Linked DNA regions of Lonchura striata. The protein of the gene in region 1 interacts with the protein of each later gene in a pairwise test. Links are inferred from orthologs where the notes say so. Each region holds a gene or a part of one and is shown in the gene's direction. Other genes may lie near its edges.

Region 1 (7,425 bases):
AACAAAAGCCTGCTTACAAAGGGAAGGACAAGCTGCCAATCCATAGTATGCCCTAAAGCAGAAGTGAGAAGCAACTGAAGCGCCACCTCACACTTTAGCAGGATACCTTACAAGTGTGCCAGGTACTGTATGATCTCCATTTATTTTTTGAACATAGGTAGCTTTATTTCAATGCTAATTCTAAGCAAAACACCCAAAATGTAAATTAATTCAGTGCAATTCTCTCCAAGTTACAGGCATCTACAATAACAAGGGTTCTTCTGCCCTACAGTTAATTAACATTAGACTGCTCATGCAATGGCATAGCAGAGGCATTGTACACTTCAGCAATCACTGCCTGTGCCATTCCCCACTCATCCCTCTGCATTTGCTATGCAGACACAGCTCTCAACTTCTGCACATTATGATTTCAGCTCATTCTCCAACTTCCTTCCATCTGCTAAAATCATCAGCAAAAACAAAATAGCAAAGACAAAACAGCAAAGAAAAACATGAAAGTGGTAAGCCAGGACCAAGCCAAAGCCGAAGCTGAATGAGGTCCTAAACAAAATTCAGCCAAGGCTGGAATAGATTCAGGACCAGTGTGCATGTGCTACATATGGTCATTGATTTTACAGTCCAGCATGTTCCAGACAGACTGTTTCTTGGTGATACAATATCCCCCCCCCAAAAAAAGGTGCAGTCAGTAAGAAAGTACTAACAGGATCTACAGTTGGGAGATTGGAAAGTCTCCTCCTCTTCCTGCTTGGGCCTGGTACATTGGTGGAGTGATGGGCATCATCGAAGTCGCCGCCACTGACGCTGCTGGAAGGAGAGGTGGCTCTTCGCCTCTTGGAACCCATGGAATCCAACTTCTTCTATAATGAACAGAAACATCCTTAAAGCCCTGCCATTGCATCCCAACCCTCTGCTGAGAGCTACCCACACAATTCCCAAGAGTAAAGGAAATCAAAATGCTCCTACAGTTTTATAGTCACCAATGATAGCAAGGCCAGAAACCCCCAAGCTCACACTCACTGAATTAGAAATTCTTCACATAATATGTTCTTAAACTCTCTACATTTTCATACCCCATCCCATGCGCAAAAACTAAGCAAGAGCCACTGTTTTCAACAAAAAAGCTGTACAGAGACACATGCTCAGTTCTGGTGTAAAAACACTTAATTCCACGGCAAAGTACAAAACCACAAAAAACAGACCAAAAAAGAAAAAAAAACAACCAACCAAAACAAATTACAAATGAAAAGGGCCACACAATACCTTGTGTTATGTTCAAGAGAAAAAAAGGACTGGATCGCCATGGGACTGCCCACTCCCACTTTATGTGTGGGATGAATGGCTCAACCATGGAGAAACAGAAAAAGCTCCCTCCTCTTCTGGCCATAGTTTTGCATTTACCAACACAAGCAGTGACAAATGAATAACCACCATCCAACAACTATGGTAATTTATGGAACAAGTTATTGGCTCTTTCCCAACTTCCAGTGACAGCATCAGAAACGTATCTTTATTTGTGGCTATCTCAAAGGCTGAGCACAGAACAGATGCATCTATCCCAGCCCATCCCCATTTTCCAACCAAATCCAGGGATTTCTTTCAGGAGGCACTCAGATGGTTGACAAGGTATGGCAGCACGAGGTAACTGCATTAAAGCATTTCTCTTAGAGACAACTTCAGGCACACACATGAGATGAGTAAGGTAGGAATAATTAACAGCTAGGAAAAAGAAAAGCAAAAGGCCAAGGCAGAGGGATGGAGATACAATCAATAATTTACCAGATTTACCAGAGTAGAACCAGCACCTCGAAAAGCCAATCTCCTCATAGTGTCTGATGGGCAAGCACAGATACTGCGAGAAGGGGACACTCTAAGAGTGGCAAACCAGTAATGGTGTTAGTACAGCCACAACTGGAAGACAAGAAAAAGCAAAGAGAGAGAGAAGAAAATTCAGACTAGGTAGATAAAGAATAAAATCAAAGAATAAAGTGGATAATTACAGTGACAGAGAAAAAAAGCAAGAAACAGAAGGCAACTTTTTATAGCCCAGCAGAAACTCTACAAAGTAATTCTGTACACAGAATGCTAGACACTTCTGTCATTGTCACAGTAAAAATACATTTCTCTCATGTTCCTGAATATGCATTACAGATTTCACCGCCACTTGCTAGAGAATGATTCATCAAGAGCAGAAAGTAAACAGAAGTGATACCTGACCTGAGAGTACAAACCAGAAAGCTGTAAAACTTACAGAATGCAAAGCAGTACAGTGCTTATAAGAACATAATCTTAAGGTCAACAAGCATTTATTAAACTCTAAGATGATGCACCTCCAAAATTCTTCAGAGTAGACTTTTATACTCAGAAGTAAGCAGTAAGTATGCAGCCATACGCTAAAAAAAAAAAAAAAGTTTCAATTTCTAAGCCTCCAAGCCTTATTTTTTTCACAGAAATTCCATGTGAAATACACAGAACCATTTAATAGCAAAATGTTTGCTTCTGCGTAGTTCTTCCAACTCCTGCCTTCAATCAAACCCCAGAGAGGTTCTTTTACAGTTCAGCACTCTGAACATTCTCGTAACATGAACATGCAGAGAAGCTCTGTGGTTTATCAGCAGGCAATTCATTTTGGGAACTGACAACAGCCTCAAGCCTTGGCACAGCCTCCAACTTCCATCTGAGGGCTACAGTCTGGAGTGGCTCCACCAGGCAGGTGCTGGGAAACACAAGCCCTTGGTTGTGGAGGAAAGGCAGGAGGGACTACCAGAATCAATAATTCTGCTTCAACCAGGAACCCAAGAGTACACTCAGACCAGTCCCATCCTGAAATAAAGATCTGGGAAGCTCCCAACCAGAACTGCCTGCAGACTGTACATCAGCTGCTCCATGTGTACTGTCCGGGGCACAATGCTGTGGATCTCAGCCATACTCTGACACTGCTGTGATCAAGGTACCCTCACCACTCACACAGCCTCCAAAACACGTTTTTCTCCTCTAATAACCCTGTAAAACATGCATCAGTCTGGACAACATCACAAACACTCAGGGAGAGACCTGCTGATGTACCACTCACTGAAGGTGAGGCTCCAAAACACAAACTTCTTCCTAAACTGCCACACTCCTAAGCACAGAGAACTCAGCTGTGCACAGAAACACAGCTTTGCTGAAGAACCTCTCTCCCTGAGTTTCTTCTGCAATTGCACTGCTGGCTCACAGGTCTCTCAACAGTCACACCAAGAATCTCCACTGCTACCACTGACCACCTCCAATTCAACAGCAGCTTGAGCATCTCCTCGGTAATTGCCCCCACCAGCCATAAAAATGTCACAAAACCACAGCAAGAAAGGCTTTGGCCATTACTAATTCACATGTATACTGATATACACAACGGGGGGAAGGAAGGAAGGCTGTCCCTCCCAAAAGCTGTAGGGAAGGACCACAACAAGTGTCACCCACTCCAACCTCCCTACACCCACAGGTTTTACACTCGTCGGACATAACACACTTAAAATAAAACGTTCTAACACACTAGAGGTTCATTTTCTGCCTCCAGGCAGAGGAAAGCGAAAAGCCAACAGATACCACGGGTAGTACTTATTGCTATCAGGATCTCCCACGTTTCACCAGAAACACGAAACACGGTAAATTTAGCAAAGGGAACAGGGGAGGGAAACGCAAAGGGAACAGGGGAGGGAAAAGCCGGAATTTCCCCCGGTTACCGATCCCATTGAAAGCTGCTACGGGATGGGAAGAGGGGGCTGGCAGCAGCCAGGCACGGTAACAGGGCAAAGCTGACGGGAAAGCGAGAGGGACAACACATCCATCGTTTTACCGGCACCGGGACAAGGAACAAAGGCAGCAAATCCGGAACTGCCCGAGGCGCCGGAGCCCTGCCCGGGAGGTGAGGCGCTATCCCCGGCAGGAAACAAAGAAAAGCCTTTCCCGGCACCGGGCGGCCAGGACGGGGTCCCGGGCCCGCCCCGCGGGGCACGACCCGCCGCGCTCAGCGCGCGGGCCCGGGCGGCGCCGGCACGGGAACACGGCGGGAGCGGGGCGGGGAGGAGGGGCTGAGGCGCACCCGGGCCCGGGCAGGTGACGGGGGCCGGCGGCGCTCGGTGCCCCGGGCCCGGCGCGCCGGGGCCGCTGCGCGCTCGGGCGGCGCCGCCACACAAAGGGAGGCAGCGGCCTCCAAGCTCCGGCCCGCGCCCCGCCCGCGCCGCTCACCCCGCCGGCTCCGCTCCGCCTCCCGCAGCCGCGGCCGACCCGGGGTGGGTGCGCGGGGTCCGCCCGGCCCGGCCCGTCCCGCCGGTACCGCCCGTCCGACACCGCCGGTGCCGCCGCCGCCGCTGCCGCAAAGCGCGCCCGGCCGCCCAACGCGCCGAGCCCGCGCGACACCCCGGCGGGGCAGCGCCGGCGCGCTTTACGGCAGCGCCCGCCGGCGGGAGCACGTGGCGGCGCCATGAAGCGGCCGAGTGAGCGCCGGGAGCGGCTCCGGGACGGGCACGGGCACGGGCACCGAGCGGGCGGGAACGGCACGGGGAGGGCGCGGGCGGCGGCCCGGCACCGGGGGGCGGCGGCCGCCCGTGGCCGAGCGAGCGGCAGCGGTGGAGGAGGCGGGAGTCGGGGCCGGGGGATGTTTGCGGCGCTGACGGGCGCGGTGCGTTGCAGAGCTGCGGAAGGCGAGCAAGAGGCTGAGCTGCCACAAGCGCTACAAGATCCAGAAGAAGGTGAGGCCCGGCCCAGCGCGGCCCCCGCGCCGCGTTCGGCGATTTTGGGGCCGCTGCGCTGAAGTTTTGGGCCTCAGAGTGAGAACGTTTCTTGTGCCTGCCCTCATTTCTTGTGCTTCCCTCAGATAAGAGAACACCACCGGAAAGTCCGCAAGGAGGCCAAGAAACGCGGCCACAAGAAGCCCAAGAAAGACCCCGGAATTCCCAGTGCTGCGCCGTTTAAGGAAGAGCTGCTGCGGGAAGCGGAGCAAAGAAAGCAGAGGGTAAAACACAGTTTTCGGTAAAGAGAACAAGAACTGAGAGCATCCCCTTCTGTAAGGAAGCTTTGTGTGCACTCAGAGGAGCAGTCATGGTAGATGGTCCCAGCAAACTCGTGCTTTGGAAAAATGATGTATTTATTTCCAGCACCGTACCGTGTGCATTGATTTGCTCTTTTATTTTTAACCTTCGTTTCCTCACTGGGATGGGAGCATGCTGGAAGTGTCTTTTCTAATGCAGTCAGAATTCCCTGTGGTGCTGGGATACAGAAATGTCCCATCAGAGTGCTGGGAGTTAAATCATGGCATTATGTGATTACACAGAAAATCGGGATCTGCTGTCTGCAGTGTGCACTAATGTGGCATTTGTCAGCTGTAGTGGTGGCTGCAGCGCTGCTGTTCTGGGATCAAGCAAATGCATGGCTGCCTCTGGGTAGGATGCAAAAAAAGAGTTCCCAGAGTTACTTGGACAGCCAGGACTTCTAACTGAGCTGGCTCAGGAGCTTGGGTCAGGAATGGGGAGAAAGAACATTCTTCCTTAGCACCTTCGAAGATGTTTTATCTGCCCTGGGTTTTTGTTTGTGATCAGCTTGAAGAACTGAAACAAAAGCAGAAGCTCAATAGACAGAAAGAACATGAAAAGAAGAGGAAGCTGGAAGCTAAAAAGAATGCAGTCACAATCAAGGAGAAAGCAGAGGGAAAGGTAGGGGTCCTGTATGATTTTGATTCCTTGAACCTGGAGAAGTCATCCTGAAACTGCACCTTCTTAAGCAGCAGTTTACATTTTCATGCTGAATATGCACACAAGTAGTAGACACTAATTCTCATTTAAATAATTTCCTTTTGTTTTTATTTGCTTTAGGACTCCCCTGGCAAATCTAAAGGAAAGACTAAAAAACCACTGAATAAAAATTCTAAGAAATCATTCTGCAGGGAGCTTATGAAGGTGAAATGCTTTAACTATTTTTTTTATCATTAGATATAGATATATAGATATTTTATATCACTAAAGAGTCAGCAATAAGATCACTTGTTATTTTGCTTTTTTTGTATTACTGTTTAGAGCACAAAGTTTGTCTGTGATAAACTAGAACACTGATGGGATTTTACAACAGAAAATGTTAACTATTTTTGTAAGCCACAGCTATAGCAGAATTGTAATCTGGTCTGTGATGTCTTGTTGGATTCCTGTCTTTTTTCTGACCCAGGTGCTTGAGGCCTCAGATGTAGTTCTGGAGGTTTTGGATGCCAGAGATCCAATGGGCTGCAGGTGTCCTCAGCTGGAGCAAGCTGTCACTTCCTCTGGAGGGAACAAAAAGCTGCTCTTGGTTCTGAACAAAATTGGTAAGAAACACAGGTTTTCTCAAAGTGTTACTGGCACTGTGTTTCTGTGGTGGGTGAGCTATGAAGATTTTAAAGGAATCTGAGATTCCATTGAAGACATGAGATCCAACTCTGAGCTCACTACAAAGGCTGGAAATTACCCAGTACCAGTAGCTAATTAAAGAAAACAAAATACCAAGAGCAACAAGAAGAGCAAAGGGAACTCTGTGGTAGAAGTCAGAATCTTTCACAGATCATTCTGTACCATGCAAAGTCTTCTAGCCAGAGCCCAGCATTAAAAGCCTAATACAGAGGCCAGAAATGTAATTGTGATATGTTCTGCTAAGGCAGAAAGAGAGACTCTGTGTGCCTTTGGGGAAGGTATCCAGTACTTCATATTAGAGTTCTCAGCCAAATGGTATTTGTCATGATAGGATTAATTTAAGGAGTGAAAGAACTGCTCTTCTTTCCAGATTTGGTGCCAAAGAACAACATAGAGAAATGGTTGAATTATTTGAAGAAGGAGTTTCCAACAGTTGCTTTTAAGTCAGCAACAATTATGAAGGACAAGACTATGGTAAGAGCACTGCAGGCTGTCCCACGAAAAGTTCATGTGTTTGCAGTCATACATGTTGGAACATCTTTAAAATTCCTTTCTCCCTGGTTTGGTTGCACTTTTTGGTTGATGGATGTGCCTTTACACTTCAATTGAGCTTTGCAATACAGTGGGAGAATTCTTAGCACGGAAATTACAGTAGATTAATAAATCTAAGTATCCATATTTTATCTTCCTTAATAGCTCCTGACCATGGGCTTTTTTTTGCCTTTGAATCTGGTAGCAGGAACAGGTCACAAAAAGACATGCACGTGTTGATTTCGCAGAAACCACTCAGTATTTTGGAAGCAAATGCCTTTTGAAGCTTCTTCAAGGGTATGGCAAGACCCAAGACAAAGCCATTCAGGTTGGGGTTGTAGGTAAGTGTTTGGAGAAACAGGAGGAGTTTCTTTCTCCTATAAAGCTTTGGGATCCTGTATTCCTGGACTGGGTAAAACTGCTGACACCTGGTTTGCTAATGAGCTTTCTAGTCACTGTTCTTTGCTCCAAGACTCTCAGTGTTGTA
Region 2 (7,405 bases), on another chromosome or scaffold:
AGGCTCTGGCAGTGAAGCTGTAGAATGGGTTGTATTGCTCTGGGGAATGGTTTCTCCCTCCCCAGAGACCTCTGTAGCTGTGACCTGTTAGTTTGACCCTTCCTTCCTTTCCTGACATAATTGGCTGGGAGCCAAGTAGCCCTTACTGTACTGAGCCTAGATAAGGCTCTGCCCCTTCCTGGTTCTCTCTCTTTCCCTCTTCCTCCTATGGAATAAACATCTTGGACCACATTGGGGGTTGGAGCCTCTTTTGGAATCTTCACCCAGCTCCTGGAACACTCTCCCCTCAAGGCCTTACAGATGTGGGCTAGCCTGGTAACTTCGGGGGGCTGCACAGGAAGGTGTCTCAGAGATGGAGAATAACAAACACAGGAAAATCAGGAACTGGACATGATCATGCTGTGCCCCACCCCATGGCCTTATGTCTGCTCTTCTACACCCTGCAGGAACCATGGGGAACAGGGACAATATTTCAAAGCTTGTGCTGCAGTAGGAGTAGATGTGAAAAGGGACCACCAGAAAAGGCTACTTTGATGTGGACTATCAGGTGTTATCTCCCATCTCCAAGGCCCTGGCTGCCCATGAGTGCTCAGCAGAACTCATGTACCCTGGCAGTGATGCAGAACATTGTTTTGGGATCAAGCTCATGGAGTGTAACAAGCAGAGCAGTGCCATGGGCTGGCAGCAGGTATAGCTTCAGCACACAGCAGCAAATGATATTGCAAGGGGAGTCGTGGCTCGTGGCACAAGGGCAGCTGGCATCGCTGGGGAGAGGATGTTAGGTGCAGTCTGCCTCGCCAGCCTTACAGACACATGCCTGATGGAGATCTCTGCTGCCACCCCCTTCCTGACCCATGCCAGCCCCACCAACTCCAAACTCCTACTCCTCCTACTGGGAAGTGGCCTCACCTTTGAGACCTGCAGGACACACAAAGTTTTAAAGTATCCTGATTTTTCTCCCAGTTTCAGTCAGGACAGTGTTAATTTTTGCAATAGCCAGGAAGGGTCATGGCCAGGACCTAGAGGCTATTCTGTACTGAATATTTAAAGAAAAAAGAAAAAAAAAAATAGAGACATTTCAGGCTATCTTAATTTTTACTGTTGTGGACACTGACACCTGTAATCTATCTGTGTAACCTTACTTCATTTCATCACTGCAATACCTGAGTGCCTCCCCTGTGGATATCCTGGCTCACCTGCCATTCCTCTCTTTTACAATTGTATGTCTGAAACTGGGCCTTAATAGGAGAAGAATCCTCTCAAAGCTTTATGCAAAACCATAGAAGAGATGGAGCAGCACCGGCTTGTGCTGCCATAAGCAGAAGCTGGGGCACCAGACTCCCTCTGCTTCCCTTATGCAGCATTCTTTGGTGCTGAAGGACCTTCTGATACAGCTCTTTATGGTGCTCTGCATGAGTAATATGCTACAGGCAAAGCTGGGGATGGAATAGGCACTACAGAAAGAGGGAAGATGGAGAAAACTTCCAGTGCTACTTACAGCAGGTTCAGCAGCAAAAAGCAGATTGTGGGTAAGAAAGAAGACAACCAGGTAAGGATGGTCCCTCCATCCCAGCTCCTTGTCCTGCGCTGGCTGCAAACCAGCCTGGAGGTGAAGGGAAATTACAAATGCAAGGTCAAATCCTCCCAAAGCAGCCCCAGGAGATGCAGTTCTCACCTGTGTTCAGGGTGTTCAGCTGGCACCCAGCCAGGCGGCTCTGTCCATGCTGCCCCTGCAGTGCCTAGACAGCACATTGCTCCTGCTGCTGCCCCAGCTCATGGGACCAGGAAAGCCAACACCTGCCTCTTGCTGCCCTATCTGGGGACAGCAATATGCAGTTCTTTCAGGCTAAAGTGAAATACTTGGATTTTCTGGTGTGCAAGTGATCTTTTTTTGAGATCAAGAATGGTGTTTTGATGCCAGTTAAGATTTTGGCCCTGGGACAGAAACTGTTGACTAGTGAAGGGCGGGGGAGGCCAGTGGAGAGGCTATGTGACAGCCATGGGCTAGGGCAGCTGAAGATTATTTCATTACGTCAGCATGGAAATTAAGATTGCATAGGAAATCTTTACTGTCTCTATACCTTCTGATCGTTTGATTACAACTGCACTGTGGTTTTAATCATGCTCAACATAAAATTTCCTGAATTTTGTACATGTTCACTAAAAAGAGAATTCCATTAAGCAAAGTTCTGATTTTCTCCTAGTTGTCCCTGTATGGCTGTTTCTAAATCACTTGTAAGCCTTTTCTGCCATGCCGAGTATTACACAGCACAGAGCCAAGCAAAATAAAATGATCGATATTGTAATGGACTTCTCATCGTAGTACCATGGCAGAAATAATAAATGTCATGATATATGACAACCCTTCTAAATCCCTATGGAGCCAAATGAGACACAGTAAGCATATATCTCCTACTTCCTACCCCTGCTTTTCTTCTCTGTGTGTGTTCCTCCCACATTTATTTCCTCCATAAAGGAAGACTGTAATTGTATTGAACGTGACTCTGCAGACAGGAGAATCTGCTGTGGTTCCACTGTTCCCTTCAGCAGACCCAGGTGGACTTCTGGAGCTGCAGTTTGTGAGCTGCTCAGTGCCCTGCGGGGCAGGACTTTTGGTGGCTTTGGCCAGCAGCCATGTCCTCCTGCTGGCACTACAGGTAAATGCAATTCACTCCCTTCCACTATTACTGTGTAGGATTCACCTTCCAGCTCCAGTCTGACATCTGCCTCATGCCATAACTTCATTTGAAATTTAGATAATAGTTCCCATTTTCAATCCAGCCCAAACAAATGCCTTATCTGCATCTTTGCAGCTTTTAAGGCTGAGATGTCTGATCAGTTAATGATGTCTCTCTCTGCCAGGGACACCAGCCACTGCACTTGTTGGAATTTCTGCCTCTGCTGCTCCACAGATCCCTGGGCGTATCTTAGGGCAGCTGAGGGTGTATCTATAGTGGCAACTATTTTCCCATAGTTGCCACTCTTCCTACCCAGCAGTAATTACTTCGTAAAGGTAATAAGAAATTAACCAAACCAAATGTTAGAAAATGAAATAAACACTGTTTGTTCTCTGGTTCCTTGTGAGACTTTAAGGGGAGTAAATCACAGAATCACAGAATATCCATCCTCACTCATATGCTAAACTGTGCTCCAATTTATTCCTGTACCTTGTTTTCACACACAATTTAACTATTATTGAATTTTGGTCAGCCTGTGGCAACCACCAGAAACACCTCAGTGGACAGCCTGCCCTAATGTTAATAGGATGGTAGGGGATCATATCCTGGTGAAACCATGTGTATCCTGTGGAACTGCATTTGCTGTTTGCAAAGGGGCCAGCTTCATGGAAGAGCGAGGAAGGGGAGTCTTTGACAGCGTAAGTTTCATTTTCCCATTGTGCCAGTTATTCTTCAGTTTGTCTCATTTTCAGCAACATCATTTAATGTTGATCCTTTATGAATTCCAATGAAGGTAACTCTACAAGTTACACATTTCAAATCAGAAGGGAGGTAAGAGCACCAAGAGCCTATAAACTTTTATTTTTGCAGAGTAAGTGTTCAGGTAAGTGTGAGATTAGTACACAAGTGACCCTTGTGCAGATCAGCCCCAGGACACGATGGCCTGGGATGTGTGGATGATGAACCCAGCCCAGGGGCAGTGATGGGCTCCCACCACGGTGGCAAACAAGTGCTTCCAGGACTAGTAGATCTACGTATAAAATAACCCTAGAACTTTTAACTTTGTTGTGACAGCTTTCCCCGTGCGCTAATTTCACATTAAAAAGTGGTTTGCCCCCATCATCCGCCAGCTGAAAAGGAGGTTCCCAGAGTGTTGTTGTCCCTGGCCTTCAGAGCCAGTGGCGCAGGGAGCAGTAGCTCGGGATGGGAGCCCATCCTGACAGGCAACGCACAGGAAGGGAGCTGCTTTCGTTCCTGTATGATTTTAGTCAGAGATGGCAGCAGCAGCCAGCTGCCGCCACAGAGCGAGCAGGGCGCGTTGCACCGCAGCACGGCTCTGCGGCCGGGGAGCCGCTCGGGCCGGCGCGGCTGCAAGCTCTGAGCCGGGCCCGGGCCGCGGCCGCGCCCCTTCGCTGTCCGCGCGTGCTGCGCGGCCGGGAGCGGAACGCTGCGGTCCGCACCCACGGCTCTGCCCCACGTGTGGCGCGGCTCCCCGCGGCTCCCCGCGGCTCCCCGGCGGCGGCCGCGGGCCCTGCGGGCGCGGCGGGCTCGGCCCCTCACACGGCCACGGCCACGGCCATGGCCCCGCCCCCTGGCGGCCCGCGCGCGACCACCGTCAGCGTGCGTGCGCAAGGGCGGCGCGGGGCGCCGAGGGACGGGCCCAGCGCGCGGCTCTCGCGAGAACACGAGGCTATATCAGCGAGTGGGCGGGCGCGAGGCTTCCTTTAGTGCGCGTCCACCCGAAGCGTAGTGTTCCCGGTCGGTCGTGCCCCAGCCCCGCGATGGAGGACAGCGCCATGGACATGGAGAGCATGGGCCCCCTGCGCCCGCAGACCTTCCTCTTCGGTAACGCTCGCCGCGGCCACGCTTTCCTGGGGCCCGCTGGCCCCGTCGCCCCCGCAGGCCCCGGGGCCGAGCGCCGTGCGGGGCCGCGGCCTGTGCCGGCCGAGCGCCGCCGCTCCGCGCGCGCGGCGGGGCCGGGGGCTCGGGCGGGACCGGGGGCTCGGCCGGGGGCTCGGGCGGGGCCGGGGGCGTGCGGCGGCCGCTTCCGCGCACTCCGCACGTGGCGCGCGGCCCGCACGTGGCGGGGCCCGTCGCGCTCTGTTCCGCGCTTTGTTCGCGGTGTGTCCCGCCGTTCCTAAGGATGCGGCGCCCCGGCAGCGCCCGCGGAGCACGTGGCAGCGCGGCCGGAGGCGGAGCACGTGGAGCGCCGCGGCCGCGCGCGCCTTGCTGCTCCGGGGCAGGCCCGGCCGCCACGGCGGCGGTTCCGGAGGTGCCATCGTCCCGGGCACCGCGGCGGACGCTGGGCGGGGATGCTCTGGAAGCTGCTGGGTTTAACCGGGCCGTGCGGGGAGCTGCGTGGCCGCCAGCAGGCCGCGCACTCGCGCGGGGTTTTCTTCACCCCACGTGTTCCGCTCCTTGCGTGCCCGCAGCGTGCCGCTACTTCCCTGCGAGTACGCGGCCTGGGAGCAGCAAGCTGCCAAGTAATGCTGTTTTAAATAAAGCAGGAGGCTTATAATTGGATTGTTTTACAGGCTGCGAGCTTAAAGCAGATAAGGAGTTTCAGTTCAAAGTAGATGATGAAGAAAACGAACATCAGTTGTCACTAAGAACGGCAAGTAGTGTTTGTTTTTTTTTGCTTCCCATTTAAATATACTGGTGTGCTGTGATGGTGTGTTTTTTAACGTGTCATTTATTTCTCCAAACATAATTCAGGTGATAATTGATATGTAAATCTGTATAAAGTAAACATCTCTTACTAGCAGTGGGGCATATTCTGTAATTTCAGATATTTTCTGTATTGAAAACATTTCTTCACTGATGTTTCATTCACAGCAAACAAATGCAAGGCTGGAAAACGTTAAAAATCAACTTACAGTTAGCTAGTAAATATCTGCTAAATTGAGAATTTAGGCTATACATGAGGCATCCCTAAGGTAAATAATGCAGATGCTACAGGAGCAGAGGGAGAAAGATAGATGTGTAAGAGTCATACATAGGCACACTCTTGTGGACTACTATAAACCTGATTTTGAAAACCATTTCAGTGTGTTCCATAAGCTGACTCTAACTCTCTCTTTCCCAGAAGCAGATAATAAGTAAATCTAAATTAGACAGCAGAAGGTTTATGTTTTGACTTACTGTCCTTGGTTTGGCCTTTCCAAGGATGTAACTGGGAAGCCCCATCTTTCATTCAGATAATTCATCTAGCAGACTCCCAGGAGTTCTTGGGTGGGTCCTTGGAGCTTCCTGAGGCCACACAAGTCAGACACAATATTTCAAGGCTTTTGTTCTTGGCTGATCATGTTTTTTTTGGGTAGCAAATCAATAATGTGCACTGTCTTAGCCGTCAAGAAATTAAAGAGTTGTAGCATCTTCATGGCATGTTCCTGTGTTTATTTAAATGCAAGGAAATGCTTTGATGCCTGGAAGAAGAAAGTCTTAAAATTGTTGACTAATTCCTACAGGAGAATTGATTCCTGGAGGTCACTTGCATAATGAGTATCTCCAAACACTTAATGGTGTTACTTAAAACACTTCTTTTTTTTATGTGAGTCATGTGTTTTCCATACTATATTATGAAAAGTACAGCCTGGACTTGACAAAGAGTAATTTGTTGTTAATTACAATTCCTTTTGATGGAAGAACATAGCAATGTATAGGGCAAGTCCACATGCAGATTTCTTGTATCTGAATATTTGTTACATAGCCAAAATTAGTGATACTTAAATTGTATTGTTTTACTCAAGAGTTCCTTTTCTATTTATACTTTCAAAATTAATTGTAGCATTTCTTCTGATGTTGTACAGATGGATGAAGCAGATCAATCCTCACCACTACTTTGTTGCTAGGCTTGTGGGGGGAATTAATCTTCTGTCAGTAACTTCTTTCCATAGAATAAAAAGGGATGATGCACTGGAGAAAGGGTTAAGATACCAAAGGACAAACTAGGAAATGTTTAAGATACTTGGAGGGTCTCAGACATGGTTTAAACAAAAGACCTTGTTGAGTAGAGGAAGGACTTAAAAAAAGGTAAAGGCGGCAAAAACCTGCGGGCTGGTCTATGCTCCCGATAAAAGCCTAGATGAGTAAAGACAGTGTTAAAATACAAATGCAGTGGGGGACTTGGGCATGAGGTACAGCAAGATGGGAAGAAAAGGGTAAAAGGGAAAAGAGGTGGATAAATGTAGGAGGTAAAAGTGCCATGAGTTTCTGTAAATGTCTTACTAATGACAGTTGTGTATAGGGATGGTCACTGATTCATCACCTATTTGGTGTGCATTCCTTCAATATAGAAGTTAAAGCACAGGCATGGATGCTTGCCAAACACAGAGAAATAAATCACAAATAACTGCTATAGTATTAAACTAGGGCAAATGACAGGGTATGCACTAAAATTTTTGTCCCACTAGCTGAGCAATTCAGTGTTGTTGACAGCACATTTGAGAGGTGAGATCAGAGCTGCAATTTCACCTCTTTGAATTGCTAATAACAAAATTTGCCAGTAGTGAATCCAGTGTTCTGTTTTCCAGCCTTCAGTCTGATACATCTAAATCTGGACAATTACAGTCTCATTAAAGCTCAGCTCTTGAAGAATGGAAACTTCCGTGCCTCTGCCTGAAGTGTTCACACCTACATCTCCTGTGGGGGTTGGAAAGATTTCTTGTGAGGGGTTTCAGGAAAGGAAACACAGAGCCTTTGTGCACTGCTGTTGGGAATAGTTGTAG

The links. The genes of interacting proteins can lie anywhere in the genome.
Region 2: the proteins of GNL3 (region 1) and NPM1 interact in a two-hybrid assay, tested with the Homo sapiens proteins (2 studies listed by BioGRID, with this or other methods). The link is inferred for Lonchura striata from reciprocal best matches to the Homo sapiens genes GNL3 and NPM1.

The regions. Positions count from the first base shown.
Region 1 is NC_134614.1:9,332,966-9,340,390, reverse strand, and holds the start of GNL3 (guanine nucleotide-binding protein-like 3), read left to right. Parts: upstream 1-4,415; 5' UTR 4,416-4,456; coding exon 4,457-4,469; intron 4,470-4,665; coding exon 4,666-4,724; intron 4,725-4,849; coding exon 4,850-4,987; intron 4,988-5,570; coding exon 5,571-5,684; intron 5,685-5,843; coding exon 5,844-5,927; intron 5,928-6,189; coding exon 6,190-6,325; intron 6,326-6,380; exon of another isoform or gene 6,381-6,453; intron 6,454-6,777; coding exon 6,778-6,881; intron 6,882-7,143; coding exon 7,144-7,279; intron 7,280-7,425. Other genes in the region: PBRM1 (protein polybromo-1), read right to left, coding at 702-857, 1,777-1,824. UniProt on the Homo sapiens protein: May be required to maintain the proliferative capacity of stem cells. Stabilizes MDM2 by preventing its ubiquitination, and hence proteasomal degradation.
Region 2 is NC_134617.1:17,420,584-17,427,988, reverse strand, and holds the start of NPM1 (nucleophosmin), read left to right. Parts: upstream 1-4,358; 5' UTR 4,359-4,459; coding exon 4,460-4,523; intron 4,524-5,212; coding exon 5,213-5,292; intron 5,293-7,405. UniProt on the Homo sapiens protein: Involved in diverse cellular processes such as ribosome biogenesis, centrosome duplication, protein chaperoning, histone assembly, cell proliferation, and regulation of tumor suppressors p53/TP53 and ARF.